Caenorhabditis elegans: one gene and its partner. The protein of the gene in region 1 purifies or fractionates together with the protein of each later gene. This does not show direct contact. Each region holds a gene or a part of one and is shown on either strand. Other genes may lie near its edges.

What was found.
Region 2: the proteins of ilkp-1 (region 1) and hda-10 fractionate together in Caenorhabditis elegans (co-fractionation; one large-scale study listed by BioGRID). This does not show direct contact.

Annotation. Positions count from the first base shown.
Region 1 is NC_003280.10:11,045,432-11,059,364, forward strand, and holds ilkp-1 (PPM-type phosphatase domain-containing protein), read left to right. Parts: upstream 1-4,823; 5' UTR 4,824-4,828; coding exon 4,829-4,910; intron 4,911-5,754; coding exon 5,755-5,866; intron 5,867-5,906; coding exon 5,907-6,013; intron 6,014-6,067; coding exon 6,068-6,164; intron 6,165-6,224; coding exon 6,225-6,431; intron 6,432-6,734; exon of another isoform or gene 6,735-6,772; coding exon 6,773-6,892; exon of another isoform or gene 6,893-6,976; coding exon of another isoform or gene 6,977-7,123; intron 7,124-7,199; coding exon of another isoform or gene 7,200-7,931; intron 7,932-7,977; coding exon of another isoform or gene 7,978-8,104; intron 8,105-8,151; coding exon of another isoform or gene 8,152-8,357; intron 8,358-8,418; coding exon of another isoform or gene 8,419-8,485; intron 8,486-8,617; coding exon of another isoform or gene 8,618-8,716; intron 8,717-8,976; coding exon of another isoform or gene 8,977-9,113; exon of another isoform or gene 9,114-9,155; intron 9,156-9,674; coding exon of another isoform or gene 9,675-9,827; exon of another isoform or gene 9,828-9,892; intron 9,893-10,348; coding exon 10,349-10,442; intron 10,443-12,465; coding exon 12,466-12,615; 3' UTR 12,616-12,693; downstream 12,694-13,933. Other genes in the region: col-83 (Nematode cuticle collagen N-terminal domain-containing protein), read right to left, coding at 263-331, 379-537; F33A8.4 (CTCHY-type domain-containing protein), read right to left, coding at 855-1,163, 1,737-2,033, 2,079-2,147, 2,215-2,307, 2,810-2,969, 3,028-3,416, 3,513-3,599; sdhd-1 (Putative succinate dehydrogenase [ubiquinone] cytochrome b small subunit, mitochondrial), read right to left, coding at 3,878-4,055, 4,173-4,285, 4,335-4,481; F45E10.2 (Major facilitator superfamily (MFS) profile domain-containing protein), read right to left, coding at 6,977-7,123, 7,200-7,931, 7,978-8,104, 8,152-8,357, 8,419-8,485, 8,618-8,716, 8,977-9,062, 9,675-9,827; Adapter protein unc-53, read right to left, coding at 12,901-13,124, 13,172-13,933.
Region 2 is NC_003280.10:13,876,502-13,893,589, reverse strand, and holds hda-10 (Histone deacetylase domain-containing protein), read right to left. Parts: upstream 10,886-17,088; 5' UTR 10,878-10,885; coding exon 10,755-10,877; intron 10,257-10,754; coding exon 10,128-10,256; intron 8,882-10,127; coding exon 8,482-8,881; intron 7,221-8,481; coding exon 6,651-7,220; intron 5,976-6,650; coding exon 5,644-5,975; 3' UTR 5,557-5,643; downstream 1-5,556. Other genes in the region: mcd-1 (Modifier of cell death), read right to left, coding at 844-1,148, 2,048-2,979, 4,672-4,790, 4,865-4,928; ing-3 (Inhibitor of growth protein), read right to left, coding at 11,326-11,454, 13,549-14,163, 15,296-15,820.

The DNA of each region.
Region 1 (13,933 bases):
CAGTCATAGGTCGCCTTGAAGGTAGGAATAAGGCAAGTTTGTGCTTACACTACAGCAAACATGAAAGGAAATTTTAAAAAAAATTGAAACTCAGCAAAAATTGGATAAATTGTTGTGAAAATGTAAAACAGCCAAGAAATGGGCAGAGCCTGTATGTTAATATATTTCGAGTACTTTTCGATTTCCGAAAAATATTCTAAAAAATAAATAAAAAGCTAAAATAGACTCCGCCCATTTAATGGCTTCTTTCCACAAAACTAACCTGAGACAGAATGTCCCATAAATCGTGAGATCTAGACACACAATATCGTAGCTCATATTCTAGTTCGTTCTGCAATAGACTTCAAGCTAGCTGAAATTATGTTTTTTTATTGAAACCTGAAACGTCAAAGTCTTCGCAAATAAAATAACACTGCCAAATAATCCAAGTAATATCGCAGCTACAGTAATCCCGACAGAGATGAGAGTCACGACACGAAGTGTCCGAATTTCAACGTCATCTGCTTCCGGTCTATGCTTCTGCTGCTGCCACGTCATCAGAAGCCTAGAAGGAGCGGAAAGAAACAGTTGAATAGCTGTTAGGATGGAAGGATATGCAAACACTAATAGAGAATAAGTGTGTGGAGTATTCAATTCTAAAGTGTGAATAACTAGTAGAGAAGGAGAAGGATTTCGTGTTCTCATCTTAAGAATAAAAAAACAATTGGCGATTTTTCATCTTAATAAAATGATGATTTAAGAAAAACAAAAAACTTTTGTAGTAGGATAGAGGGAATGGGAAACAAAAAACAATAACAATAAAAGAAAAAGGGTAACAATTTCAACAGAACAACCTTAAAATAACCAAAAAACAATTATTCATCATGCTTCTGAATGCATCTCCCGTACAAATGACATCTGGCACATTGAGCACAGTGCACATATCTCGGCTTGACACACTTATCACATTTCTCGCAGTGATTCCATTTTCCTTGTTCCACTGATGTGCACGCCTGGCAACGATCGCAATGGACATTTCGTTCGGTGACATAGCGATCGCAGACTTCGCAGAATTTGTAGCCGGCGACGTTCTTTAAATCGATGCATTCCACTGGCAAATCGGTGAACAGGCGGACGATCGTTTTCTCGGAATGTTGATAGAGCTTGTGGCCCTCGTAGGTGACCTGGAAAATGATTTAATAAATTTTAAAAAAGTAACATTCAATACATTTTTTGCCCTAAATGGCAGGAAATAGTCCCAACCGAATAAAACTGTTTTTTTACTTAAAAAAAAATTTTTTTTTTTTTAAGTGGTAACAGGGCCGAAATATTTTTAAATTCCCGCAACCTAGTTTCGACATTTTTTCGTTTTCCGCCTATATTTAAGTATAATGATAGGTTTTTTTGTTTGATTTTAAACATAATTTATAAAATTTTCGGACGTTTTTTCGCAAAAAAAATAGTTAAAATAAATGTTCATTTTTCGATTTTTAAGGCTAATTTAGAACTTTGTGATTTTCTTTATAGTTGGAAAAAGTAAAAAATATTGAATTCAAAAATAATTTGAATGTTTCTATTAAAAAAAACCTCTTTGTTGAAAATTCATAATAAAAAAATTTTGTTCAAAAATTTAGTTTTAAACCCACTAACATTGTTTTTATTTAATTTAGAAAATTATTTTTCAAATTTTTACAAGTTATATTCGGTTTTTTGGTCATTTCTGCTCACTTTGAGCAAAAAAAAATTCCAAAACTAACTCTGTAATCAGACATCCAAAAGTTTCCATGAAGCACGTATTTTCGAATATAAATCGGCAGAACAATCATCGAATAAAATAAGGTTTCCTCTTTCCCAGTTGACACAAATCGTTTCTTCATCTTTTCAATACTTTTTAGCAGTGGTTCCATAAAAACTCCGAATGGTGGATCGGTGATCATTAGGATGCTTTTGCTTTTATCGAAGAATTCCATAAGCTTTGGCTCTGCGATTTTATCGAAAAAGTGATCAACGAGCATACTGTATTGAGCGTATTGTTTCGATGGGAAGAACTTGGCCTGAAATAGATAAATTTTGAAAAGGAAATGGTTTTAATAACTTACAAATCGTTTATCATAATCCAACAGGAACACGTTCTTTTCCGGGTGAAGGGCTCGAATGTTTTCAAAGATCTGAAAAAAATGTTTTTTGTTTCCAAGTTTTGATTTTGAAAATTCGTTTTTCAAAAAAAAAACTCACTCTAGGAGCTCCGATGCACAGAATTCCGTCGACTTTTGATTTTTCAACAGCTTTCGTGATGACATCAAGTGTCTCAGTGGAGAAGAAGAATTGCTGAAAATTGGGGTGATAATTATGAAATGTGCAGATTGTTTTGAGCCAAAGTAGGTGAACCTACACAAAATTTTTTTGTTAACTTTTAAAGAGAACTGTAACTTCAAACTTTTGTTGCTGCACAATTTTTAATCGATTTTTTCGAAATTTGTTAAAGCTATGTGCTTTTTTAGTTGTTTTTAATATACTATTTTGATAAATAAAAAATATTTTCAACGAAAAACTATGGAAAAATAGAAAAAAATTTGCGTTTGAAAGCGCTTTTTTTCGAATTTTCAAAAAACTTAAATAAATCAAATAAAACAAATAAAATTCAACAAATCGTGGGAAAACTATGGAAAATTGATGAAAATTCCATAGCATCGAACGTTTGAAATTACAGTACTCTTTAAAGGCGCACATCCGTTTTGTTTTTTTTTTCGCCATTTTAATTTGTCGTGCCGAAACCAGCAAAATTTAGCGTCTGGATAATAAAAACGTTTGGAAATGCAAAAATACTCACTGATTCTCCATGTTGCTCATTTACTGGTGGAAGAAGGTGAGTTGGTCGTTCGAGAGCCTCTCGTTCCACGGGCTCACAGACACATTCATGCTTGTTCGGGAACACATTAATGCACGTTTTGCAATACAGAACTGTGTCCGTTGGTGACATTTCGGTGAGACTGAATTAAATTATTATATTTTTTATTCGGAAATTTCTTAAAACATTTAATTACTCACGCTTTTGGGATTCGATTATATCCAAAAATCTTCTTTTTCTTCTTCTTTTTCTCTGCGTCTTCTTCTCCTTCGACAGCTTCTTTCACCTCAATTTCTCCGGTTTCTTTGTTGAAAGTCAACTTAAAATCGCAAAATTCGGCTTGATTTCTGTAAATTGCACATGCAAAGAATGTCTCCTCGACTTCTGGACCATTTTTCTTCTCGAACAGCAGACAAGGACCATGAGAGCACTGCGGAACTTGTGGAAGGTCATCAGTTGGAAGAACTTGGAAGAATCCACGTTGTCTGAGAGCTGTGCTGTCTTGTTTTTGAAATTGTTGCTCCTGTTGGTTTTCCTGTTGGTGATTGTGGAAATTCGGTCGTTTTGAGAAGTTGTTACGTCGGCGAGCCTTGAAAATTGATTTTTTATATAAATTTAAATAAATTTTGTTATTTATTTCTATATAAATTTAAATAAATTTTGTTATTTATTTCTTAATTTATACCTTAAAAACGTTGTTCTTCTTCGCTTGTTGCATAAACCGTTTTTTCCTTTCAAGTCGTTTCGCTTTATATTCATCTGAGTGAACCATCTGAATATAATTATATTTAATTCATTTTTTAACTTTAAAAATCTGAATAAAATCAATATAATATTTGGAATAAAATAATCCAATTCGTTCATTATTATCTCATCAATTCGGCAGATGTTAGAACAGTTCATTTGGAAGAATATACATTAAAATTCGAACTAGAAAAGAACTCGGAACTAAATCTTGAGGCCGGGGGAAATTTCGCAGTAACAGAGAAGCGGGGAAGATGAACAGGCGGAACACGGATTATGAAAGCTTTTCAACTTCTCAATACTGATTTAGAGGGAGAAGACTAGTTCAAAGGCCTTGGTGATTCCGACGTCGTTGGTGTTGAAGTGGAGGAGTGCGCCGAGCAGAAGACCAGTGATGAGGTAGACTCCGACGTGAGCGGCCTTTGCAGCAGCCTCTCCGATCACGTATGGACGAGCGTAATCGTACACGACTCCGTGGATTCCCCTGAAAAATTTTGATTTTTTTGTTGTTAATAATATTTACAATTAATTTATGATTTTTTTTTCGAAATTTTCCATCTTTTTCAGTAAATAATATGTGAAATCGATTTAATTCCCTTACCAATGAATATGGAGAGTGAGGGCAACAGTGAGAACGGCATCCATAACTGGTCCGTGGATGAAGTAGGATGCTGGAAGAATTGGGAGCATTCCAACGGCCCAAAGACGTTCAAGCTGTAATTATTTATGATTATCCTCTGCTTTTAAGCCTTAAAATTCCCACCTTAAAGTGCATAGAGTGGTCTGGAACTTTGCTGGCTCCATCGTTTAAAGTAGAGGTGGCTCTAACGATTGTTGAGATTCTTGGAGCGCTTCTGGCGACGAGAAGTGCCTTCTGGAAGTGAGCCATATGACGGAGAGACGCGGCCATCCTGGAATTATTGATTTTTGGAGCAAAAACATGAAAAATCTGTTTCAAATTAAATATTTCATTAATCAAATTTGAAAATTTTAATAAATTCGCTACTTTCTGAATAGAGAACACACAAAAACAAGAGAGAAGGAGGGACAAAATCAATTCGGCGGTTCGTACAACACTCCGAAATAACGATTACGCGTGTTGTTTAGCGAATATCAATGCGATTTTTGCACGTCTACAAAATCGGCGGAAATTTTAAATTTAGACAGGATAAACACAATTTTTTGTTGAAAAATCTCGATAAGGAAAACCAAAAATGTGCATAAATGTTCCAAGCTAACAAATTTGTTTTACAGAAAATGTACTCGGATAGCAGAAAACGGAGTTCTGATGACTTGATCGATAATTCAGATGAATCGAAAAAACCGAAGGAATCGAGAAGTGAGTATTTATTGATTATTTTTGAAAAAAATTGCTTGGGAAAATTGAAATAAATAGAAAAAAAATAGAAAAACTTTGAAAACTGGAAATTCATGAAAAGCCGAGACACCACGGTTTCAAGATCTGGTGGGATTCCGGGTCTACGTTTTCCGGATCTACCATTTCCGGATCTACGTTTTCCGGATCTACGTTTTCCGGATCTGACCGTGCCAACTCTTAAATCGCTATTTTTTTCGAAGAAAAAAGTGACAACGACGCTCCGATGTTACCCGTCGCGTATTGTTAAGCGTTTCTTCTAGAAGAAAATTTCGAAAAAAGTCGTGCGTTGAAAAGCGTTTTGTGCGTTGGCACGGTGCCAGATCCGGAAAACGTAGATCCGGAAATGGTAGATCCGGAAAACGTAGATCCGGAATCCCATCAGATCTTGAAACCGTGGTGCCTCGAAAAACCTTCAAAATTTATTTCAATTTTAAAAAAAAGTATCGTAACTTCAGTTTAAAGGCGCACGCTGGTTGTTTCAGAGTGAGTCTCACCACGATCTCAGTAATAAATTTTATTAAATACAAACAGGTGTGCGCCTTTGAAGAGTACTGTAGTTTCAAACTTGTGTAGTTGCAGAATCTTTATCGACTTTTTGTAGTTTTTCGATAAAAATATATTTATGGATTAAAACATTTACAAAATCAAGAGAAAAACTCTGAAAAATAAATAAAAAAAATTCGGAAGACGCACATCTGTTCGTATTTAACAAAAATTGTCGTATCGAGACTGGGTACCGTATTTTTGGTCCAAGAAACACAAAATTTCGCGCCTGAAATAATAAAAATACCAATTATATTTAAAGATCTTTACTGCACTCTTGCCGCGTACGGTTGTCGAAAAGGAGAACGAGCTGACATGCAAGACACTCACATAATGCTTCCAAAATTCGATTTAGGAACCGAAAAATCATTTCTGTAAGTCCAAGTCTCACAGTTTCCAATACTCCCTCTTCAGGTCTCGTGCATCATTTTTCGCGATTTTTGATGGTCACGCAGGACCACGCGCCGCAGAGCATTGTCAGAGTCAGATGGGTAAAACGGTCAAAGAAAAACTTGCCAAATGTATTCAATTCTTTTGATATTTTTGTTCGAAAATTAAATTTTCGGAAATTTCAGTTTCGGATTTCCCAACATTGACTAAATCACTCAAGCAGACCTTCACAGAATCCTACAAAGCAGTGGACGACGGGTTTTTGGCAATTGCCAAACAGAAGTATGATTTAATGAGATAAAAATTCCCCAATTAATTTTTTAAAAAATTAAAAAATTTCAGTAAACCTATCTGGAAGGATGGAACCACCGCGACCACCATGATCATTCTGAACAATGTGATCTACGTGGCAAATATTGGTGATAGTCGAGCTGTTGTTGCTAGAAAGAAAGAAGATGGATCATTTGCACCAGTTTGTCTTACTGTAGATCACGATCCAATGTCTCATGATGAAAGGATGAGAATTCAGAAAGCTGGAGCAGTTGTGAAGTGAGTTGAAGTTTTAGATCTACTGATTTTAATGCTTTCTGACTTGAATCGATGTTGCAACATGTTGTAAATTAGAAGCAATTTGAAAAACAATGAAAATCTTTTTTTTAATAGCCGGAAAACGAATAAATGTAAAAACTAGGCAATTTATTTGTGCGTGAATTCAAAAATAATACAACCTTTAGAAGTTTTTTTGTTGTAAAATTAAAAAAAAGTTTTAAAATGCTAAAAATAATTTAAACGTTTATACTAGGTATATTGAGACTGTTTCCAATCATTTTGGGTAATTTATGATGTATCTGCTTTCAATAATTACGATTTATAAACTATTAATTTTCCAGAGATGGTCGAATTAATGGAGTAATCGAAGTGTCTCGTTCAATTGGAGATTTGCCATTCAAATCACTTGGCATCATCAGTACTCCGGATCTCAAAAAACTGACGCTCACCAAAAATGACTTGTAAGTTCATTATTTACATACAAAAATTATTAGAATAATTATGAAGAGGGTAAGTGTGAAAATGATTAAAGTAAATGTTGAAAATTAAATCTTGTTGCCTTCCACTTCGGAAATCGAGTCAGGAAGTTGTTGGTTTACGGTCTCGGGTAACATTGTCCATGAGACAATTGATGCACATAAAGCGAGTATTGTGAATGGGATAATCATGACGATTCGGCCGAATCTATCAACCTGAAAATTAAAATTATTGCAATTGAAAAGTTAGGAATGTTTTGGAATTTTTTGAACTTTTTTGAGCTCAACTCACCAAAAAGAATGCAATGAAAGAAGCACTGATTGCTCCAAATCTAGCTATTGTCGAGCAACATCCAACTGCAGTATTGCGAATAACTGTTGGGAAAAGTTCAGATGTGTAGGTGTACATGACAGTATATGCAACTGACACAGCTCCCTTTGCAACCATCAGCATAATAACTGCATATTGACTCGGAATCAAGTCATGTGTAAGCCAACTAGCCAGAAGAAGCATTCCAGCAGTGAAGATAGCTCCAGAATACATGATACGTCTTCCAAGTCTGTCAATTAGCAATGCAACGATGATGACAGCAGGAAGCTCCATGAGTTGAGAAGTGACAAATGTGACGAACAAACTGCCTCCGCCAACGTCACTTCTCATTGTCAATCCGTAGTACATCATAGTTGTCACTGGCCACATCACAAAGTTTGCGATGGTTCGTTTTCTCATCTGAGGTGTTCTGATTAGATCAAAGACTCCGAACGAGTCCTTTTTCTTTGTTGCAGTCACATCCATCTTTTTCTCTATTTTCTCTGCCCAGTTCTTTGGAATCGTTTTCTTGTTCCAGTTTGCAGTTGCACACAGAACTACATTGGCGTCGTCGTATTTTTCTTGAGATACAAGCCAGCGGGCGCTCTCGTGGATCATCCAATAGTAGGTTATGAAGATTAGGGATGGAATTGCAATAGATGCATGCAAAAGCCTATAGTCTACTATAAAGTAGGCCATTACTGCCAGTAACACCTGAAACAAGTTCTTTAATATTTAAGTCCTGATATTTTCAAATTACCCCTCCGATAACACCGAAGACGTTGGCAATGACTGCAATAAAGCTACGGTACTTTTTCCCAACAAGCTCAATTCCCAAGACAACGGCGACTCCATAGATCCCAGGTTGAGTGAATCCAGTTCCAGCTCTGGAAATTTATTTTATGTAACTGGAAATCATGATAGGATTTCTTACTTCAAAATCGCATAGATCCACCAAGTGGGAGCTACAATTAATAAGAGAGCGCATACCACTTGAAGCACTAGGCACCAGAAAAGTACTTTCTTTCGTCCGATCTTATCTGCCATGACTCCGCAGGTGAAGGATCCAATCATTTGACCTATGAAGTATACTGCCTGGACTGTTGCTCGGATCCATCCGTTATCTCCATCCATTTCCCACTGAAATAGGAAATATATGTGAATTATTTGAAATTCAAATGTTCGTTGATGTTGTTCTTACCCTGTCAGATGCAGAGTAGGCCAATTCCTCGCAGCCATCAATCCGTGTTTCGTTGGTTTCATTGCATCTGTAGGAAGGAAGGAATGAATGAACAAATATATTTACGATGTTTGTTTTCCTGATACTATATCACTACAGCAGACGTCATTACGTATGACAGTTTCAGCACCACGTGGGCGTCTTTGACCGATGAACTTACATTTTTCTGGCCGGAGATACCACAAAAGTCCAACTCATCACATGCATCGAGACGAAGGCGATAGGTATACATATCAAGATAAACTGGATTTGTTGGAATCTGAAATTTTGATGATTTAATGATTAGTTCTTTACGAAATTTTAGTTAGGAATGAATTTTTTAGGAAAAATTTCACGAAATTTTAGTTAGGAATGAAAAAAAAGTACAAGTTAAACAGTATTCTACAAGGTACTAACAAGTATTTTGTCAGTTGACAGTTTTTTATTAGAGCAAACGTCAACTGAAATGGTGCAAGTCTAATAGGGAAACTACGGTAATTTTTGCCAGAATTCCTTACTCAAAAAATATTAAAAACTAACCTTCCGAAGCTTCCAAGTCCTTCAAAAATCGATTCAAGTTTGATCTTATCGTTTCGCACGTCGACCTCCTCGACATAATGTGCTTCCTCAAGATGAGCAATATCTTTAACTGGTGTAACTTTGACCGAGGAAGCCATTGTCGTAGAAACTAACTCGTTTTCCGCACTTTTTCCCTATTATACCCAACTACGGACCAAAAGACACCCGGTAATCGTACCGCCCCATTTCATACAGTCTGTGTCATAGGATATCAAGACGCTCGCCCGCCTACACTCACACGTGCCTGTTGTTCTAGTGGTTATTCGGGTTATTAGAAAATTCCAACAACGGAAATTAAAAATTGAAGGTGGCATTGGCGTTGAAATCGAAATTAATATCGAAATCAAACGCTCAATGAACATTACGAACTATGATCAGATAAGCATGCGGAAGAAACAAAGGATCGCGGGATATCCCAAGCTTCCTTAGCATAGCGTCCACTTTTACTACGTAGCCGTGAAATAAGAAAACTCGACCACTCTCATAAAATTAACTAAGATTTTCTCGAAAATCGGCTTTTTGGAATTTTAGAAACCCCTTTTCAAGACCATCCTCGGCAAGTTTCAGGAACAAGAAAAAGAAAAATAAATGATTGGTCGAGTTTTTGACATCACTAGGCCACGTAGCAAAAACTTCATGTTATAAAAAATTAGACTTACCTGTTTTGTTCCAATATCCTTTAGACCTTGCTCTATAAGTGGGTTCATTGCTTCGTTGAGACTATTGATGACGTCACTAGAACAATAACTAGTAATTGTAGTTTGAGCAGTTTGAGGAATATCCTCATCTTCGAGGCTCTCATCGATCGACATCCTAATGAATAAGTGTCAGGTCAATTGGGGAAAAAAGAAAAAAGTGCTCTCTGGCAAGAGGCGAGAGAGCGCACAGAGGCAAATATGAGCACTCTGCCTTAGCGCGCGCACTGGACATCGATTGGATTAGATGAGAGCCTCGAAGACGAGAATAGAGAGCAAAAGCTGAAATTATGAAAGAATGGTCTCTTTGATCCTTGGATTAGACACCATATTTCAGAAAAGAGAAACCCCTTATGTACTAAGTACGTCTCCGAAACATCGAAAAAAATAATTTCTGGTGTTTCTAGCTATAAAGGAACGTAACATTTTAACAACATACAATAAAAGTTATTGCACAACCTACGGAGTTGAACATAAAACGGCGAAAATGAGATTCCTCGAAATAACAAAAACTACTTTTAAAGGCGCAGCGTTGTCATCCATAAAACCATAAAACCATTGCACAAATGATCTTCAATGTGTCATCGATTTGATTCCTTCGCAATTTAAACGACATTCGCTAATTCGATTTGTTTCAGATTTGCCATCATCGCCTGCGACGGTCTCTGGAAATCATTTTCCAATTTGGAAGCTGTTTCGTTTGCAGTCGAGCAGTTGGAGGCTGCAAAGAAGGTTAGGATCATGTTTAGCGGGAAGGTGTTCGGGGGACTAAAGAGCGTTACAAAAAGTGTGATCCCACTAGAATGGATCTACTCGGATCCTAGTTAAGGGCCACAATAGAATTTTAGGCAATTGAAGGATAAACCTTATATTCCGGTACACCCCTGCTTTATATAGGATCACGTGCTTCGGCGAACTATTTTTCAATTGTACCTATACTAGGTTCATCTGACAATTCGTACCCAGATTGACCGTAAATCAAAACATTCTACATACTACCCCCCCCCCCCCCATTCACCACCATGTGTTAGCGTATCCGTCACGAAGTCAGCGAACATATGACGTTTGACCGAAATTCCTACTCTCTGCTAGTCGGTTCAGCTGATTAATCAGTTATCATTGATAGAAAACGATCCCCCAGCTATCAGATGGCAGAAGATACAATTGTTCTTTGGCCATATTCTGTAAATGCACGTTTCAAGAACTTGGAGAGTACATCCCTTGAAATATTGCTGCAGCTAGATAAAAACAATGCAAACGAATTGATAAGGAAATATCAAAAGATTGGTTTTCAAACAAAAAGTACAAAGAACATCCTGCAGAAATCGCAATATCCGGGGTCGAAGAATACTTTTGTGGCTTGTATTCAACTGTACACATATCAGATCATTGATCAGCAGAAGCTACCCGACGTCATATTTACACTGAGAAAGTTTCCGACGTTTCTCGAATTGCCGCAATAGAAATTAGAATTTAACATATGAATTCTGTCCTACAAAGTACTATGTTTTGATAAAGTTGTTTCAGAAGTCGGATCATATGACTTGTCGATTTCGAAAGTATATCCGTCCAAAACAAAATGACAACAAAAGTACTTATACTCTAGTACTGCCTCTGCAAACGGTCAGGTCTAGCTGTCCAGAGCTTCAATATAATCTCCTGAAGTTTGGCTGAAATTCAGTTAACTAGACTTATAATGTCATGCAATCTGTCTTTGACCGCTAATTTCAAAAAAATTGGCGATAAATAAAAGGGCAGTAATGACCACGAACTACTTCTTACTACAACCATATGAATAACTAGTTTCACATTTCAAGATCATTTATCATGATTCGTGATCTCAAATGACTATCTTATCAGTTTCGACTCATCCACTCCTACCTGCAACCCCACGTGTCGAGACTGTCGTCACGAAGTCAGAAGGCGGATAGTTTTGAAGCGAAGCTATGTTTTTGTCGTTCACTTGATTTTTCAAAAATGATAAGGAATGATTTAAAACCGAATCGTAAATTTATAAGATACATGCAAGAGAAGAAGTGATAGACTCATTAAAGAATTGAGGACACAAATTAAACTGATGAGTTTTTTTGGAATTACAAAGTTAAATTGAGGGCAAGGCAGAGCAGAAATTCAACACAATCCGCGATCGGCGATCTCAATTTGGGCAGAGTAGTTCTCAGAATTCTAGTGCTAAGGCCTTATCACGTCATCAAATTCCTTTCATTTTCGGATCAACTGATAGATAAATGACAAATCCATCGTTCGTTGCAAATCACTGATAACCGTATCACTTCGCAATCAACTGCTGATCTGAATTTCCGATAAACAAAGCTTCAACGTCATATGTACGCTGAAGACCTTCGAGGATAGGATTGGAGACTATTTGGGTGTGTATCTAGATCTTACGAACTATATAATAAGTGATATCAAAATGTAGCGGTGGTGATGACTATCACATGAAACTGGTTTTCTTGCACAGAGGTAATGTAATAAATAGTAGTTCGTGGTCAGTCGGTTGCCCTTTTATTTTTCACGCTGGTCTTTGTAGAAGTTATAGTAAATCGGATGATGGGAAAATGTGGAATGATTGTAATTTAGGTAACTATTTGAATTCATCTGACATTGAAAACTGTGAATATTTTCTTATTCCGCCTGGGCTGTCACTGACAAATTACCTGAAATAAAGTTTCTTGAACGCTTAAAAATTATTTAAAGCATTTGATAATGTTTCAAATATAAAATTTGACTTTTTCAGACCGATATCGAACAAGAACCTAACGAGTCTCGTGAAGCTGCTGAATTGAGAGTTGTGGCGGAAAAGTTGGCTGCAGAAGCCGTTCGCAGAAAGTGTGGTGATAATGTTTCAGTTATAATTGTGAAACTGGAACTTATTGATTCCGAATGATCTTTTATTATTATTTATGTGTTTTTTATTTTATTTTATGAACTGATTATTTTATAAGTACATACACTGTTTATTCAATTTGACTATTAATGAGCAATGGGAAATGTTTCGGAAAGAAAAAGGTTTTTAAATCGCTTCGGCGTCGGCACCCGGGAGGACTAGGAACAAAGGGAACAGGAGGTTCTGGGAAATTGGGGGGAAAAGGGGGAAAATGGGGAATCATCAGGTACCGGTACGAAGATAAGGAAAGCGGGGGAGAGGCGAGAGAAGATTAGAGTCTTCTGTTCAAATGTTGTCGATGGTCTGATGCTTGGTAGCATGCAATTGGATCAACGACTCGAGGGGATTGAAGTGTTGTCGGGATGAGTTGGCAGGTGACGGGACGAGGTCTTGGAGTTGAAGACGTTTGAGCACATTCTCCGGGTTTTCACCATCGAACCACGGCCATTTTTCAGAGACGATGTCGGTGGGATCCTCGAAGGAAGTGCAGCGACCGAAGGTTTTTTTGCCTGGAAAATCATTCAGGTTATATTTAAGTAGGATATACCGCACTTACCATCTCTAGCAACACGTTCCAAATATGGAATGAAGTTCTCATTCCACAATCGAATGAACCATTCACGGGATCCATCGACAGTTAGAGGACAGTTCAAGCATGCTCTTGGACCAACTGTCACATCAACAGAATTCGTTTTCTCAATAAAATTATTGACGGCCTGAAGAGCTATTGGGAAGAAGTCAATGATTTTGAAGAGCTCTGATGGCATCTGTACAGTTAGACGATACTCATCCTCTACCGCCCGTCGTCGGAGGTAACGTAGGATGAATCCTTCGAGACGATTCGACATTACTGACATTTTGAAATTGTGGTGAATTTGAAGCTCAGGGATTTGATATCGGTTGACTGTGCATACTACAAATGGACCTTCGTTGTTTTGAAGTGGGACATTTGCAAAAACGGATACAACAAATGCAATTCGATTCTTTGGGATATTATCTAGAATTACGATGCATGATTCTTTGCTTCTCAAGATCTTTTCCAGGCGTCGTTCCACTTGAAGCAATTCTTCTTTATTGTTTTCAGGAATGCTGATATTAACAATACTATCTTCGGATTGATTTGTTCGAATAGATACATAAGCAGCCAGGGTCTTCGCCAGTTTGCTCTTTCCAATTCCAGTTGCTCCAGCTAACACCAGACGTCTCTCTGTCAAAATTGACTTGACGAGTTGGAGAATCATTTGCTTTGGAAGAAGCATATCAAGGACCAGACTGTCTACGCGACTCTGTGCGGCACCGTGCATGAACATTCGGATTG
Region 2 (17,088 bases), 2.8 Mb from region 1:
AATAGAAATTTTAATTTTTTTTTTTGGGTTTTTGAGAAAAAATTTGAGTTTTTGAGGAAATATTGGAATTTTTCAAGAATTTTTTCAATTTATTTTCGAGTTTTCGAGGGAAAAACTGAATTTTTTAAAACTTTTTAAATTTTTTAATAGAAATGTTTCAATTTGTTGTGTGTTTTCAAAAAAAAATATTGAAATTTTTCATAGATATTTTTTTCAAACATTTTTAACATTTTCCCATTTTTTTCAGAGTTTTTGAGAAAAAATTTGAATGTTTCGAAAATTTTCCGAAAAAAAATTTTTTGTGCGTTTCCAAGAAAAATTTGGAATTTCCCATGGATATTTTTTAACATTTCCCCATTTTTTCGAGTTTTTTTAAGAAAAAAAAAATTGATTTTTCAAAGAAATTTTGCCATTTTTTCAGAGTTTTTGGTTTTTTAGTAGAAAGTAGAAAAAATTGGCGTTTTTTCATAGAATTTTTCAAAAATTTAGTTGATTTTTCAGAATTTTTGAGAAAAAAAATTGATTTTTTAAAGAAATATCCTCATTTTTTCAGAGTTTTCGAGAAAATTTTTGAATTTTTTTAGTAGAAATTTCCGAAAAATTTACTTTAAATCGACAAATGGCTTTTTTTCTCAAAAACTCGAAAAAAAAAGCTCAAAATCTGAGCCAGCAAAAATGGAATTTTCTACAAAAAAAAAAGCCAAAAAATTCCAAAAACTGCAAATTCTCGTTCTCCTCGGGGAGTACACGAGTCGCGTAAATCAACACATGTGGTGAAATTTGCAGATTTTTCTGATTTTTTGCTCAAAATCGCAAAAAATTGCTCCAAATCCGAGTATTTACCAAATTTGATGGGAACCTTCTTTCCCCTCGGCTCAACCTCCTGATGTTTCCGCAACGAGGCGTTGATAATCTGCAGAAGCTCGATAATTTCAACGTGTGACAGATTTTTGAGCTTTTCCTCAAATCTGGTGGGATGTGGAAGAAGTTGTTCGGCTTCTAGTCCCAACATGATTTGCATACACGGAATCGGAAGCCGTTTGAATGACATTTCAAAAAGCCGTCGTTTTACGGCTATTGGCACTCGAAAACCGATATTTCCGTCGTAGTGAATGTGTTGGTCGCAGTATTTGACGCGGATGCATTCGCTGAAAAAAAACGAACATTTTTTAATTTTTTTTGCCAAAAAAAAAATCTTTTTTCCAATTTTTAAAAGTTAAAATTGAATCGTGGCCCACTGCAACTTTTTCCTCACGAAGGACGAGGAGAAGTGGTTTCTAGGCCATGGCCGAGGGGCCGACAAGTTTCAGCGGCCGTTTATCTTGCTTTGTTTTCCGCCTGTTTTCTTTCGTTTTTCATCGATTTTTTTTTCGTTTTTTCTTAATAAAACTGATAAATAAATATTTTTTGCAGATGCTAAAACAATTTCCAAGTAAAAAAATTATGTATTCAGTGGGCAAGCAGCGGTGAAAGTGGGTATTGTAATATGATGAATTACGGGAATACAAAACCTAAACTTTTTCTTAAACATGATACATATGCTGCTTAAATGCTGAGACTACCTGATTTTCATAACGCGACCGCTGAAAAAGTTTTGAGGTTTCCAAAATTCAACTTTAGTCGAGAGAAAAAGTCGAGATTTCCGCGCAAAAAGTTGAATTTTGGAAACCTCAAAACTTTTTCAGCGGTCTCGTTATGAAAATCAGGTAGCTACAGCATCTAAGCAGCATATGTATCATGTTTAAGAAAAAGTTTAGGTTTTGTATTCCCGTAATCCATCATTTTACATTGCCCACTTTCACCGCTGCTTGCCCACTGAATACATAATTTTTTTACTTGGAAATTGTTTTAGCATCTGCAAAAAATATTTATTTATCAGTTTTATTAAGAAAAAACGAAAAAAATCAGTGAAAAACAAAAGAAAACAGGCGGAAAACAAAGCAAGGTAAACGGCCGCTGAAACTTGTCGGCCCCTCGGCCATGGCCTAGAAACCACTTTTCCTCGTCCCTCGTGAGGAAAAAGTTGCAGTGCAACAAAAAAACTCACTATCCATGAGTTTTCTGCACAAACGCCGTACAAACTTCAAGCGGTCGCTCGGAGAGCCCAACGATGCCAACTTCGACAAGCTCGGCCATCTTTTGGCGGCCTTTATTCATATAATTACACACGAAAAGCTGCGAAGAGCCGGCTCGTGATTTTTTGCGAATCGCGTCTTCAGGATCTCGGCCCAGGGTGGCCTTCTCGACTTTTAACAGGAAATTCTCGAAATCCCGATCTGCGAAGAACTGAACCTCTCGGACATTTGTCTGACAGTCGTGTTGCTTGATCATATGATCACAGAGTCGATCCATTACAGGGAATCCATCTCCACACTCTGCACACTTGAATCGAATCTCGTTATCATCGAATAGGGGCTCTTTGAGCATTGGGGACGGGGATCTGATGAGGCTTGTAGACTGGGGCCCCCCGTTGGCAGCAGTTTCCTCTTGCCATGGAGCACTTTTTCTGGGAAGCTTAGACTTAAAAATCGCGTTATCCATTAGCGGCCGACGGTTCACGGGTGTCACTGGCGAGTACTTTTCCACGTCCACCTTTGCCATATGGGTCATTCTTTTGGGCTGTTGGTAGTAGGCCTCTGGGCCCATATAGGCCCCGGCGGCTCTGGGCTTTTGTGGGCTTAGGCTGCTTCGGGCTTGAGGAGGAAATCTACCCCTCTTTTGGGCCGCCGCGTAGCTTGTATTTGGGGCCTTCTCATCATCCATCACGACTTCTTCTTCCATCATGCCGGGCATCTTCTTTACGGCCTCCACCTCGTGAGGCTTTAGTAGGCGCCGATGGCCTATATCGTCGGTCATTACGTAGGCGTAGCGGCCGTCGCCGAGATCCTCCACCTCGACGTACTCCTCGATCACTTCGGTGCCTTCTTCGTACACCATGACGTCACTGTACTCGATTACACGGCCATCGGTGTCGAACATCTGGAAATTCGGGAAATTTTTCGGGGAAAATCCGATTTTTTTTGGCGGATTTTCCGGGTTTTTCGTGAAATTTTTACTTTAAAAATGTGAAAAACATGAAAATTTGGCGGTTTTGACGAAATTTTGGTCAAAAACCCGATTTTTTTGTGGAATTTTCCCGAAATTCACGGTTTTTTTTTGTGAAATTTCTGTAATTTTGCAGCTTATAATCGGAAATTTCGATGAAAAACTCGGGATTTTTAGCAAACAATTGGCGGATTTTAAAGAATTTTAGCTGAAAATGCGAATTTTTAACGAAAAATTGGTGAAATTTTGGAGAAATTGAGCTGAGAATGTGAATTTTTGTCAAAAATTCCGGAATTTATATGAAAAATTGAGAAATTTGTGTGAATTTAAGCTGAAAATTTGCATTTTTAGCGAAAAATTGGTGAAATTTTTGAGAAATTGAGCTGAGAATGTGAATTTTGTGTCAAAAATTCCGGAATTTATATGAAAAAATGCGGATTTTAGAGAATTTAAGCTGGAAATGTGGATTTTCAGGGAAAAAATCCAGATTTTTTGTGAAAAATAGCAAAATTTTGGAGAATTTTACACGGCCATCGGTGTCGTACATCTGGAAATTCGGGAAATTTCGGGGAAAATCCGATTTTTTTGGCGGAATTTTCTTGAAATTATGTGTTTTTCGTGAAATTTTCACCCTAAAATGCGTTTTAAAAGTTAAGAAATTTGAAAAAACATGAAAATTTGGCGATTTTGAAGAAATTTTTTGGGCAAAAACCCGATTTTTTAGTGGAATTTTCCCGAAATTCACGGTTTTTTTGTGAAATTTTTGTAATTTTGCAGCTTATAATCGGAATTTTAGGTGGAAAATTGGAAATTTTTGCGAAAAATTGCGGAATTTCAGATATTTTTTAGCTGGAAATTTGTGGATTTTTAGCGAAAAAATCTGGGTTTTTTATGAAAAATTGGCGGATTTTAGAGAATTTAAGATGAAAATGTGAATTTTTAGTGAAAAAATGCGGAATTTTAAAGAAATTCAGTTGGAAATGTGAATTTTTAGAGAAAAAATACCGGAATTTATATGAAAAAATGCGGATTTTAGAAAATTTTGGCTGGAAAAGTACGGATTTTTTGTGAAAAATAGCGGAATTTTAGAAAATTTTGGCTGGAAATGTGATTTTTTAACGAAAAATACGGAATTTTGGCTGGAAATTTGAATTTTCAGCAAAAAAAAATCTGGATTTTATTGAAAAATAGCGGAATTTTGGAGAATTTAAGCTGGAAATGTGAATTTGTAGCGAAAAAATCCGGAATTTGCTGGTTTTCAGTCATTTTACGGCATTTTGTAGGATAAATTGGACTTTTTCGCTGAATATCGCAAAATTCTAGCGAATTTTCATGATTTTTCCCATAGAAATCGATATTTTAAAGAGGAAAAATCGAAAACCATGGAAAAAAGTGGTTTTTCGGCTCAAAATGTGAATTTTGAGGGAAAAATATTGATATTTTCGTGAAAAAAAACCAAAAATTTGCTGATTTAAAACAATATGCTTGGTTTTTATTGATATTTTATACTAGAAAAGCAAGAAAAATTGGAATTTTCCTCGATTTTTCGTGAAAATTCGTTAAAAATCGATTTTTCGAATTTTCGAAATCGCAAAAATGATGGAATTTCGCGAATTCCCAGCTGACCATTCCATCTTCCTCGACAATTTCCTCGAGCACCTCCTCATGCTGAACTTCAATCATTTCTCCGTCTTCTTCGTGATGCTCCACGTCTTCTTCGTGCACTACTTCCTCTTCGATCACATCTGCAGATTTTTACAGTGTTTTAAAAAATATTTTAAGCTTTTTTGAGCCTTTTTGAGCCCAGAAAAATGCTCACTTTCAACAATTTCCTCGCCAGGTTCCAAGAACTCGGTTGGCGCTTCGTCTGGCGCGGTCTCCATCGATTTTTCTGGAAAAATCTCACAATTTTTCCGGGTTTTCGGGCTCGGCGAAGCTTTTCCGTGATAAATTACGGTGTAATTGTAATTTTATAAATAAAATAAAAATTTATCGATAGAGCAACGATGCAGAGGAGGCAGTAGAGTTGGACAAATGAAATAAATAAATGGCGGGAAAGTGGAAAAGTGGGGGGAGAGACGCGTTGCGGTCGCGTTGCGGTCGGAATATTTGTGTTTGCGGATTTTATTGAATCGGGAATTTCCGGAAATTGGGGGTTTTTACGGTGAAAAATCACTTTAAAACAGGAAAAAGTTGCAAAAATGCTAATTTTTCGGTTTTCCGTCAGAAATTTAATTTTAAAAAAGTATAAAATGGCAGAAATTGATTTTTTTTTTCGGTAATAGTCAATTTAGCACGGGAAAAAGTAGGAAAGAAGGGTTTTTCGCTGAAAAATCAATTTAAAACGAGGGAAAAGTCACTGAAGAGGCAAATATCAGAGGTTTTTGTTGAAAAATTGATTTAATAAGAGGAAAAAGTGGCAAAAATTTGGTTTTTTTTTGTGGAAATATTAAAAATATCCCAATTTTCTCTGTTTTTTTTTTAGCGTTTACAGGTTAAATATCAGATTTTTTCATGAAATAATATTCATTTCAAGTAGATAACACAGTAGATAATCACAATTAATTGTTAAATTCACCAACAAAAAAAAATCACATATCACAATTGAAAAATGGGTAAATTATTAAAAATCGAAATATTCTTCATCTCCCCAAGACTTCTGGAATCCAACTCAATTTTGCCAAAATCCTCCGGCTTCACCTTTCCGTACAGCTTTATCGTGTGCTTCGGGTCGTAGGGTGCGGTGAAGAGAAGTTCGAAGAAAAGCCGAACCGCTGGGCTCGTGCCGAGCAGGATCTTGTCCTCGTGGACTCCAAAGTAGAAATCGTTGATTTCTGAGCTGTGAGGGGCTATGGCACTGTGGAATGCTTCAGTTTCCGCGGAAAAGTCGGGAGGGGTTGTGTAGCTGGCGAGTATCGATTCGAGTTGATCTAAAATTTCGGAAAATTGACAAAAATTGAGAGGAATCCGAATCTGGCACACGTGGTCTGCCAAAGTGTCTCATTTCGGCCTGATTTACGTTGATCTACAAAAAATGCGAGAGAAGAGGCCCAGAGTGTTCTCAACTGATTTTGTATGGTTAAGAACGTGTGCTGACCAGGGCTGAGCGGCAACCGGCAACCGAGTTGCCGGTTGCCGAAAAGTTTTGGGTTCGGCAACTTCGGCAATTGCCGGTTGCCGAAAATCCCGGTTGCCGCACAGCCCGGTGCTGACGTCACTTTTTTGAGCAAAAAATTCCCGCATTTTTTGTAGATCAAACCGTGATGGGACAGCCTGACACCACGTGCTCGAACGGAAGCGCGGTTTTTTTTTGAAATTTTCTTCTGGAAAATGCGCTTAACAGCACACGCGGCGCGTAACATCGGAGCATCGTCGTTGGCCCAGATCTGGAAATCGTAGATCCGGAATCCCACCAGATCTTGAATGCGTGGTGTGTCAGAGTGTCTCATTTCGTCTTGATCTACGTTGATCTACAAAAAAAACGCGGGAGAAGAGACGCAGAGTGTTCTGCTGACGTCACATTTTTTGGGGGAAAAAATGCCCGCATTTTTTGTAGATCAAAGCGTAATGGGACAGCCTGATGGGACAGCCCCTCCGAACCGGACCTTTAAATTCCGCCACCTTCTGCTCTGTGAACGGAGTATAAATGCCACGTGTCTCGTACGGCGGGTGCACCGTCCGTTCTCCCGTGTAGTCTGTAGCCTCCTCCTGCTGATCTTCCTCGGCTACTCGGCATCCCAGAATCCCCCGGAGCTCCTGAACCTTCTTGAAGAACGGACAAGAACCTTCATATCTCTTCACAACTCTTCCAATCGTGTCAGCGATCGCCGAGTGGATCTTCTCCACCCGAATCCGTGGGATCTCCTCGCCCAGCAGTGCCCGCAACACCCATTCCGAATCCGCGGCCAGTGCATCCAGGAAGTAGCCGCCTTCGAGAAGCGCCGCCACAGGGATCCCAGTGTCGATAAGCATCCGAATCATCGTAGCGAATCCTGCTGGCGTCACTTGCATCGAGCCTTCAGGATCGCCGATGGAGGCATCGAAGCCTGAAGAGACTAGGAGAAGATCGGGCTGGAAGGCATGGATGGTGGGGAGAATGATGTGAGTGAAGAGAGCATGATAGTCGGCATCGGTGAGCCCGATGGTGTTTAGCGGCAGGTTTATCGTGTTTTTGTCTGGAAAAATGCTTAAAAATTGGTCTGTTTGAGGCCCCCTTTTCTAATCAATCAGCGCAGTGGGCGGAGCCGGGTTCGCTGATTGGTCTTGCGAACTTTGAGCCAAAATTGCAAAATTTTTTGAAAATTTGCTATATTTTTTTTCTTAAAAACGCCCAAAATTTTGAAATCAGCATTTCGCTCCGCCCCCATTTTTCGACCAATCAGACAGAGTGGGCGGAGTTCAAAGGCGCTGATTGGTTAGACAGTGGGCGTGGCTTCGCATATTAGAGGGAATTCAAATAATTTTTGTTTTCAATCACTGTTTCAATTTGTTTTGTGACTTTTTTGCGCCAAAAATTAAAAAAAAATGCGGCACCCCCGGGGTCTCGACACGACAAATTTTTTGTTAATTGCCAAAAAGGTGTGCGCCGTTTAAAGAGTACTGTAGTTTCGAACTTTTATCGATTTTTTTAAAAGATCGATAAAAAATTCCGCAAAGTTTAAAACTACAGCACCCTTTAAAGGCGCACACCTTTTCGCAATTAACAAGACAATTTTCGTGTCGAGACCCCGGTGATACCGTATTTTCGGCGCAAAAATCGCAATTTCAGTAAGAGTTTTCCTTCAAAATACCCTAATTACTAGAAAATTCGGAAAATCGCAAAATTTTAATTTTTTCTCAAAAAAAAAAGGTCTCGACACGAAAATTGTTTTGTTAATTGCAAAAAGTTAACTAAACTTTGCGGAATTTTTATCGATTTTTCATTTTCAGTTTTTTTCATTTCAAAAAAATCCGCAAATCTCCAAATTTTAGTAATTTTTAAAGGCGCACACCTTTTCGCAATAAACACACAATTTTCGTGTCGAGACCTAATACCGTAAAAAACAAAATTTTGAATTTTCCACGCAATTTTTTTGTGAAAAAAAATTTATTTTTGCAATTTTTTCAAATTTTTGAATTTTCTACGCAATTTATTTCTTGAGAAAAATTTTATTTTAAATTTTTTTCAAAATTTTGAATTTTCCACGCAATTTTTTTGTCAAAAAAAATTTTTTTGCAATTTTTTTCAAAATTTTGAATTTTCCACGCAATTGTTTTCTTGAGAAAAATTTTTTTTCAAATTTTTTTTAAATTTTTTGAATTTTCGACGGAAATTTTTTTTCAAAAAAAAGTTTTTAAAATTGTTTTGCAATTTTTTTCAAAATTTGACTTTTCTACGCAATTTTTTTTCAAAATTTTTTTTTTTAATTTTCTAATTTTTTTGCAACAAACACTAACAATTATGATAAATGCCAGTCTGTGGCATATTCGGCCAAAAATGTCCATTTTCATAACGATGAATACTAATCAATTGTACATTCCCTTCTCCCATCTGCTCCACACACTCCTGAGTCCCGTTTCCAGCGTGTACATCATAATCCACAATGAGCACTTTTTGACCATTTTGAATTGCCGCTTTTGCCGCAATTGCCACATTATTGAATATACAGAAACCGCATCCTTCGTCAGGCATCGCATGGTGCCCGGGTGGCCGAATAAACGCGATTCCGGGCCTTTTGGCGGCCATCACTGACGTCATCAGGTCGATTGAGGCGCCGGCGGCGAGTTTTGCACGGTGCCACGTGGCAGAGTTCACGTAGATGTCTTCGTATTTGGTGCAGAATGATTCTTGTTGCTCCTGGAATGAAAATTTTGGAAATTTGGGAAAATCGATATTTTTGGAATTTTTTTTAATTGGAAAAAATTGCTGGAATTTTTTTGAACGTCTGAAAAAAACACATTTTTTTTGGAAATTCCTGAAAATTTTTCAAAACATTTTTGTTGAAAATTCTGAAAAATAGCCTAAACCCTCTTGTATTGTGGACAAAAAATTTTTGAAAAAAAAATCAAATAAAAGGATTCCCAAAAAATATAAAAATGTTGCAAAAACGTTTTTTGAAATTTTTCAAAAAAAATTTTTTTTTTAATTTTTCAAAAATGTCTTGTGTAATTTTTTTAGAATAATTCAAAAAAATAGCCTAAAACCTCTTCTATTGTTTACAAAGAATTTTTGAAAAAAATAAGGGATTCCCAAAAAATATAAAAATGTTGCAAAAACATTTTTTGAAATTTTTCAAAACAAATTTTTTTGATGAAATTTTTCCGAATAGATCTGAAAAATACCCTAAAACTCTGTTATTGTAGGTAAAAAACTTCTAATTTTGAAAAAAATATTGAAATAAAAGGATTTACAAAAAAAACTTTCGAAATCTAAAAAATTTCGAAAAGTTATTTGGAATAAAAAAAAAATTATTTTAAATTTTACAAAAAAAAACCTGCAACCATGTTATTCTAGATAAAACTGCTAATTTTGTAAAAAAATTTTTTTTGTTTCGAGTTTTTCAAACTTTTTTTAAATTTAATTTTACAATAAAATTCTAAAAAAATAGTCTAAAACCTCTGTTATAATTGCAAATTTTGAAAAAAAGAAACAGATTTTTCTCTGAACTTCGTTACCATAATCATAATCAAATCAGATTTCCAGAAAAAGTTGTAATTATTTTGAAAAAAAAAATTTTTTTTCGTTTTTTTTCAAAAGTAATTTCTGAAACTATTAATGAGAAAAAGTAAAAATTTTGAAAAAAAAAAAACTAGATTCCCAGAAAAAAAAATTAAAAAAGGGTCTGAAAATTTTTATTTTTTCGAATTTTTCAAAAGAAAAATTATTTTAAAAAATTACATAATTTTTTTTACCTCGAACCTCTGTTATTGTATGTTATTGTAAACTGTAAATTGTGAAAAAAAAACAAGATTTCCAGAAAAAGTTGAAAAAAAAATTTTGAAATAATTTTTTTTTCGAATTTTTCAAAAAAAAATTTTTTTTTTGAAAAATCAGTTTTTTAGTGCACAATTTTCTTCCAATTTTTTCCGGCTAAAATCCTGACCACAGTCATCGTTTCTGTCGATTTAACGTCATCCACATATCGTTTCGTGTGTACCGCCAAAATTTCCGATTCTTCCGCTTCCCGGCGGGGAATGTGCTCAATTCGGGGGTCGGTGAGCAGTTTTGTGGTCTGGAAATGAAAATTTGGGGGGTTTTTTTTTTGTTGTAAAATATGAAAACTTTTCTTCTTTATCATTAAAAAATCATTTTTTTTGCGAAAAATTCGATAAAAAATGTTATTTTAAAATAAAATTGTTTTAATTACGAAACAGCATTTTTTTTCTGAGAAATTCCTTTTTTTTTTAAATAAAATTTTTTTAATTCAAAATTCTTAATTTTTTTTTGAAAAATTCGAAAAAAGCGGTTTTTTAATTAGAAATATAAGGTTTTTTGTTGAAAAATTCCAAAACTTCAGAAATTTCAATTTCAAAAAAATTGCACATTTTTTTGAAATTTTCTCAAAAAAATTCAAAATTTCAGTCTTTTTTTTCCGAGGTTTTCTTTGAAATATGCAAATATTTGTATTTTTCATTTTTATTGGAAAATAGTTGTGCTTGTTATTTTAATTTATTTTTTTTCCGGCTTTTCCCCCTAAAAATCCAAATTTTTTGCTCATTTCCCCCCATACATTAAGCCTCTCCAAAATCGCATCAAGCCTCCTCGGAACTTCAATATGATATGATGGCCATGGCTGATCGTGTCGTTGCTCCTGATGATCGAAAATCACAAAAACTTTCTTTTCTGCAGCCATCGAAAACTCTAAAAACTTCTTAAAATCTGGAAAAAAATGGAAAAAATGCCTATAAAAAAAATACAAATCAGAGTAAAAAAACAAGTGGCATGCAATTTCAAAAAAAAAATCCAAAAAAAAAAATCTTAAAAATTATCGAGTTCATCCTTATTAAAACTTTTTAGGGTATATTGTACAAGAGAATAATGCAGGAGAAATTTGAGAATCATGGGACATCATAACATGGGGGGGAATATATAAAATAGTGTGCAAAATAAAATTAATTGGAATTTTTACAATTGTTTTTTTGGGGTATTTAAAAATATTTTTAAAAAAAATGTGAGAGAGCATCAGAGTCTTTGGGGAAAATTTCAGATAAAAATGTTTTAAAAAAATTGGGAAAATTTCAGGCCAATCATTATTATTATTATTATTAAATTATCGTTGATGGGGAGTCATAATATTTATATTAGACTTCTCCCTCTTCGGACAGCTTGAGAGCAATTCCCATCGTAACTTCACACCGCGGACAGTACCATTTTCCAGTCGGAGGCTCGACCATTCCAATGCACGGGTAATGGAACCAGCGGAGGGTGCACTGCAAATGAAATGGGATTAATTAGAAATTTAAAAAATTCTAGCAACTTTACTAATTTCCAAATTTTTGTAGCTATTTTTTTAATCTAGGTTGAAACTTACTGATATTTTTGTGGTTTTTATTACTTTTTTTATTTTCCAACAAAAAAAAACAAACAAACAAATCTACCATTTTCCCATAATTTTTTCCAAAATTTCAACAAAAAATTCTAATCTAAATTTAAAAAACATATAGCTACAAAAGTGCTATAAAAAATTTACATTTCAACCAAAAATCTTATAAACTGAATTTTCATCGAGACCATCACCAAAAAACTAATTTTTGACCAAATTGAGTGCGAAAAATCGAATTTCCATCAAGAATATTATAAAACATTTTGTTTTCTTCGAAAAAATTAGAATTTTCCAGGCAAATTCTATTTTTTGTAGTTTTTGATGAAAATTCAACTTTTTTTAAATATATTTGTGTGGCGGAAATTTACTTTTTTGCATTACTTTTCGAAGAAAACAAAATGTTTTATAATATTTTTGATGGAAATTCGATTTTTCGCACTCAATTTGGTCAAAAATTAGTTTTTTGGTGGTGATGGTCTCGATGAAAATTCAGTTTATCAGATTTTTGGTAGAAATGTTTTTTAAATTTAGATATTAGAATTTTTTGTTGAAATTTTCAGACTTTCTGTATTTTGTTTTAAAGGTTTTTGGTGTAAATTTCAGATGGATGGATGTAATTTGTAATATTTGTGGAAAAAAACTGAGTTTTCACCGAAAACAGTGCGAAAAATGAAATTTCCACATTGTAATTATTTTAAACAATTTTTTAAAAATCATGTTTTCGTGTTTTATGTTTTTTTGTGTTTGTTTCCATTTAATTTTTCTAATTTTTGAAATACTTACAGTGGAAATTCAATTTAATTTTCGAAATCTAAATTTTTCGTATTATTTCAGTTGCTTTTGTAATTCAAGAGCATGTTTTTGTGGAAAATCAATTTTTAAAAATATTTTTCTGATGAAATTTTAATTTTTCGGGATTTTTTTAAAATGAAAATTCTATTTTTTTTGTAAAATTTTTTGATAATAATACCAACAAAAAATCGAATTTTCACCAAAAATATAGCAAAGTTTTGCAATTTTTAGGTGGAAATTAATTTTTTCGCTCAACTATTTCGAATTTTTGTAACACATTTTTTGGTAAAACCGTTGAAAACGCAGAAATTTTGTTGATTTTAGCCTAAAAATAATATAAATTGCAACTTTTTCCAATTTTTTGGTGAAAATTCAATTTTTCTGAATGTTCGTGAAATTTTTCGATAAAAATGTAAAAAAAAGCAAAATTTTGCATTTTCTGGTAGAAATTATTATATATTTTTCGCAATTTTTTGGTGAAAACTTCATTTTTGTGATTTTTTCCAAGGAAACACTCTATTTAACAATTTTTAAGCATTTTGTTGTGGTAGAAATTCAAATTAAAAAAAAAATAATTTTCGGTTAAAAATTAACTTTTTTCGTACTATTTTTGAAACAAAAATTTAATTTTCGGTGCATTATTTCTGATTTCACTTTTTAAACTCAATTTTTGGTGGAAATTTGAATTTTTTGTACAATTTTCCATGAAAAAATATGAATTTTCATCAAAAATTACGAATTATTGATTTTGTGCTGGAAATTTGAATTTTTCGCTCAATTTTCGATTTTTTGAATGGAAATTTTTTTTTTTTTTTTTAATAAGATCTTTGATAATCTTTGACTAACCAAAAAAGTGAATTTTCACCGCAAATATAGCAACATGATTTTGCAATTTTCAGGTAGAAATTATATATTTTTCGCACTGTTTTCTCGTGTGAAAATCCAAATTTTTTGATTTTTTGAATGGATGGAAACTCAATTTTTCGCACTATTCGAAGAAAAAAAAACAGTAATTTTCTGCATTATTTCTGATGAAAATTCACATTTTTTAATCAATTTTTGGTAATAAAAAACAACAAAAAAAAATCTAATTTTTTTTTCGCACTATTTCTGCTGGGAATTTGAATTTTTCGCTCAATTTTCGGAGAAAAATTCAATTTTTCCCTTCATTAAAAAAGCCCACACTAACATGACGATTATCACACTGAACCATATCTCCATAGCTCTTCTCATTACAAAAACACCAATGCATCTCATCCTCCTCATCCTCCGATCCCGGAGCCATCATCGGATGGCTCCGCTTAATCCGATAACTCGGTCCTTCCTCATCATCATCCTCGGCGGCTCCTTCAATCTCCGGAAGTGGTGATTGTGGTGAAGAGCTCGTCGGAGCGTGAGCGTGCTGAGCCGCCGCCGCCAGATTCGCCGCACTCATTCTCTCCTGTAGTGCTATAATTGAATTTCCATGATTCCGCTGCCGCTGTAGAGTCTCCTTAAACATCTCCTGAACTCTACTGGTCAGCTTCCGAGTTCTACCATGACGGCTCTCAGACACCACAAACGCCGAATTCTGGAGAACTGGAGTCGTCGGCGAAACGACGATATGCGGTCCTGAGGAGAACGTCGGTGTCATCAGTAGGCTTGTCGTCGGCGTCGGTGATGATTCGTCGATTCCGGCGTTTGACCAACTACGTTCGGAGGGATTCGGTGAGAAGCGGGATGTCGATTCACCACGATTCATCATTGATGAAAGAGCACTTGGAATGGAGACTGTGCCGCGGAGAGCATTTGTGTTTGAGCGGCGCTGAAATTTGGAGAAATTAGAGAATTTTTAGTTTTTTCACTCCAAAAACGACTGATTTTCGTGAAAATAATGGCGGTTAGGCTGAAAAATCAGCCTATTTAACGGTTCGGACGATTTGGAACGTATAGACCCAAATTTTGTGCTCAAATGAACGAATTTCATACTGAAATTGCTCAAAAATTCTTCAAAAATGTTTTATGGCGCTTCAAAATTTCGAAAACTTACACTGATTTGAGTTAAAATCTCGAATTTTGGTCATTTTTCCGTGTCTCGGCTGTCCGAAGTTGGCTTTTTTTGGAAATATCATTCTTGATTGCATATATTGGTTTTAATATCTCATTTAATTTCGTTTATTAAGGTCTGTTTAAAGCCTATAGGCGACCAATTTTAATGATTTTTGGTTACCTATTGGCTTTAAATTTACCATAATCAATGAAATTAAATGAGATAAACTACCAAAATATGCAATGAAGGATGATAATTCCAAAAAAAACCAACTTCCTACAGCTGTGACACGGAAAAATGACCAAAATTCGAGATTTTAGCTAAAATCAGTGTCATTTTCGAAATTTTGAACCGCCATAAATACATTTTCGAGCAGTTTCATTACGAAATTCGTTCATTTGAGCACAAAATTTGGGTCAATAAACCGTTAGTCCTCCTGTAAATAGGCTGATTTTCCAGAAAATCATGGCGGTTTGGCTTAAAAATTAGTCAGTAAAGAGCCAAATTTCGTTTAATTTTGAAAATTCGAAACAAAAAGTTAATTTTTAGCTGAAAACGGTCCAAAATGACCCAAAAACGGCCAATTTTCGTAAATTTTATTAAAAAATGTGGCGGTTAGGCTAAAAAAATAGTTGAAAAGAGACGAATTACGCTAAAACTCGAAATTTCGTCAAATTTTTCTTGTAACAACACCCAAAAAACGGGAAAATTTTATCAATTTTGTGAGGTTTTTGTACGATCAAATTTTGCGGATTTTAGGCTGAAATTCAAAAATGTTTGAAAAATATTATTTGAAAATTCAAAATTTAGCTAAAATTCGAAATTTCGCCAGTTCTTTGAACAGGAGGCCGTGGTAGGTGGGCTCCAAATTTTGCGAATTTTCTCGAATTTTCAGCTAGCTCCTCACCCTAGCCGTCGGTGTTGGTGGCACTGGCGTCAGACAATCATCACTGGCCACCACCATCGCCGCCGACGACAGCAACAGCTGATCCTTTGCGATCTTTGGCGGGCGCCCACGTGGCGCTGGTGATGGTATAGCCGATGATAGTGCCGATTGTGCCGACTCATCGGAAAGATCCATTCGAAGACGAACACCTTCCTGAAGGATCCGCTGAATTTTGTCCTTTGATTCTTTCGATAAAAGTGGTCCCGAAGCGACTGTCGATGCTCTCGACGACGATCCTCCACCACCACCACCACCGCCCACGCGATGACGACGTTTTCGTTCTTTTCTCGCTGTGAGCAGAGATTCGACGTGTTGGGTATATCGTTTTTCGATCATTTCGGTCACTCCTGAATTGTCGGCCTCCATTTCACACTGGAACGTGGTTTTCTCCTTTTCCAAGTGAACTTTGTACTTTTTGAGGAGTTCTTGCATTTTTTCGGCGATTAGATATTTGCGTTGAGCTAGCACGCGGATTGTGGAGAATTCCTGAAGAAAATTGGTTGCAATTTTTTGGGTTTTTTCAATTTTTTTTTTGTGAAAAAGCAAATTTTTGAACTTTTTTTTTCATTTTTTAAGAGAAATTTTGCCATTTTTCAGCTATTTTTGTGATAAAAACTTTTTTTTGAGCTTATTCAACGTTTTAACGAGAAATTTTGAAAAAATGGTTGAATTCTAAAATTTTTATTGAAAAAAAAAAGCAAATTTTTGAGCTTTTTTTTACTTTTTAAAGAGAAATTCTGAAAAATTGGTTGATTTTATGATTTTTCGGGGGTTTCGACTTTTTTTTTGTTGTGAAAACAGCTAATTTTTTTTTATAATTTCGGCATTTCCTTCACTTTCAACGCGAGAAAATCTGGAAAATTGGCATTTTGGGATTTTTAAGCTTTTTTTTTTTTTAAAAGCTAATTTTTCAGCTTTTTTTTTAAAGAGAAATTAGAAAAATTGGCTGATTTTTTGGGATTATAAGGTAGTTTTGGGGGAGAAAGCTTTTAAAATTAATAGAAAATGCAAATTTAGGGTTTTTTTCCAAGAATTTCGGCAAAATTGGTTGTATTTTGAGATTTTGAAAGTTTTTTTTAGAAAACCACGAAAAAAAAATTAGAAAATGCAAATGTAAATGTTTTTTCCCAAAAATTAGTTGAATTTTCAATTTTTTTTCGTGAAAAAAGCTAAATTTTCAGCTTTTTTTTCACTTTTTAACAAGAAATTCCGAAAAATTGTCTGAATTTTGCGATTTTTTGTCCTGTTTTTTAAAAAAGATTTTCAGTGAAAAAAGGAATTTTTTCGACCGTTTTTTTCCGAGAAATTCTGAAAAATTAGCGGAATTTTGGGATTTTTTCGCGGAAAAATGCTCATTTTTTGAAAATTTCGGTATTTCCTTTATTTTTAGCGGAAAATTTTGAAAAATTGGATGCATTTTGAGATTTATAAGCGTTTTGGGCTAATTTTTGCGTTTTTAAGCTATTTTTGTGAAGAAAAAGCTTCAAAAAACGATCAAAAACGACAAAATTCTAATTTTAGGTTTTTTTCCGAAAAGGTTACAACTTGGTCGGATCTTGAGCAACTTTTTGAGTTTTTCGACCTCATTTTAGTGTTTTTAGACGTCATTCACTTTGAGTATTTTTGAGCACTTTTGGTGTTTTGTGGGAAAAAAAAGCTTAAAAAGTGAAAAAATGACATCAGGCAAAGTACAAAAAAATCCCATTTTTTCTCATTTTTCTTCACGAAAAAGCTAGAAAAACGGGTTTTATAGC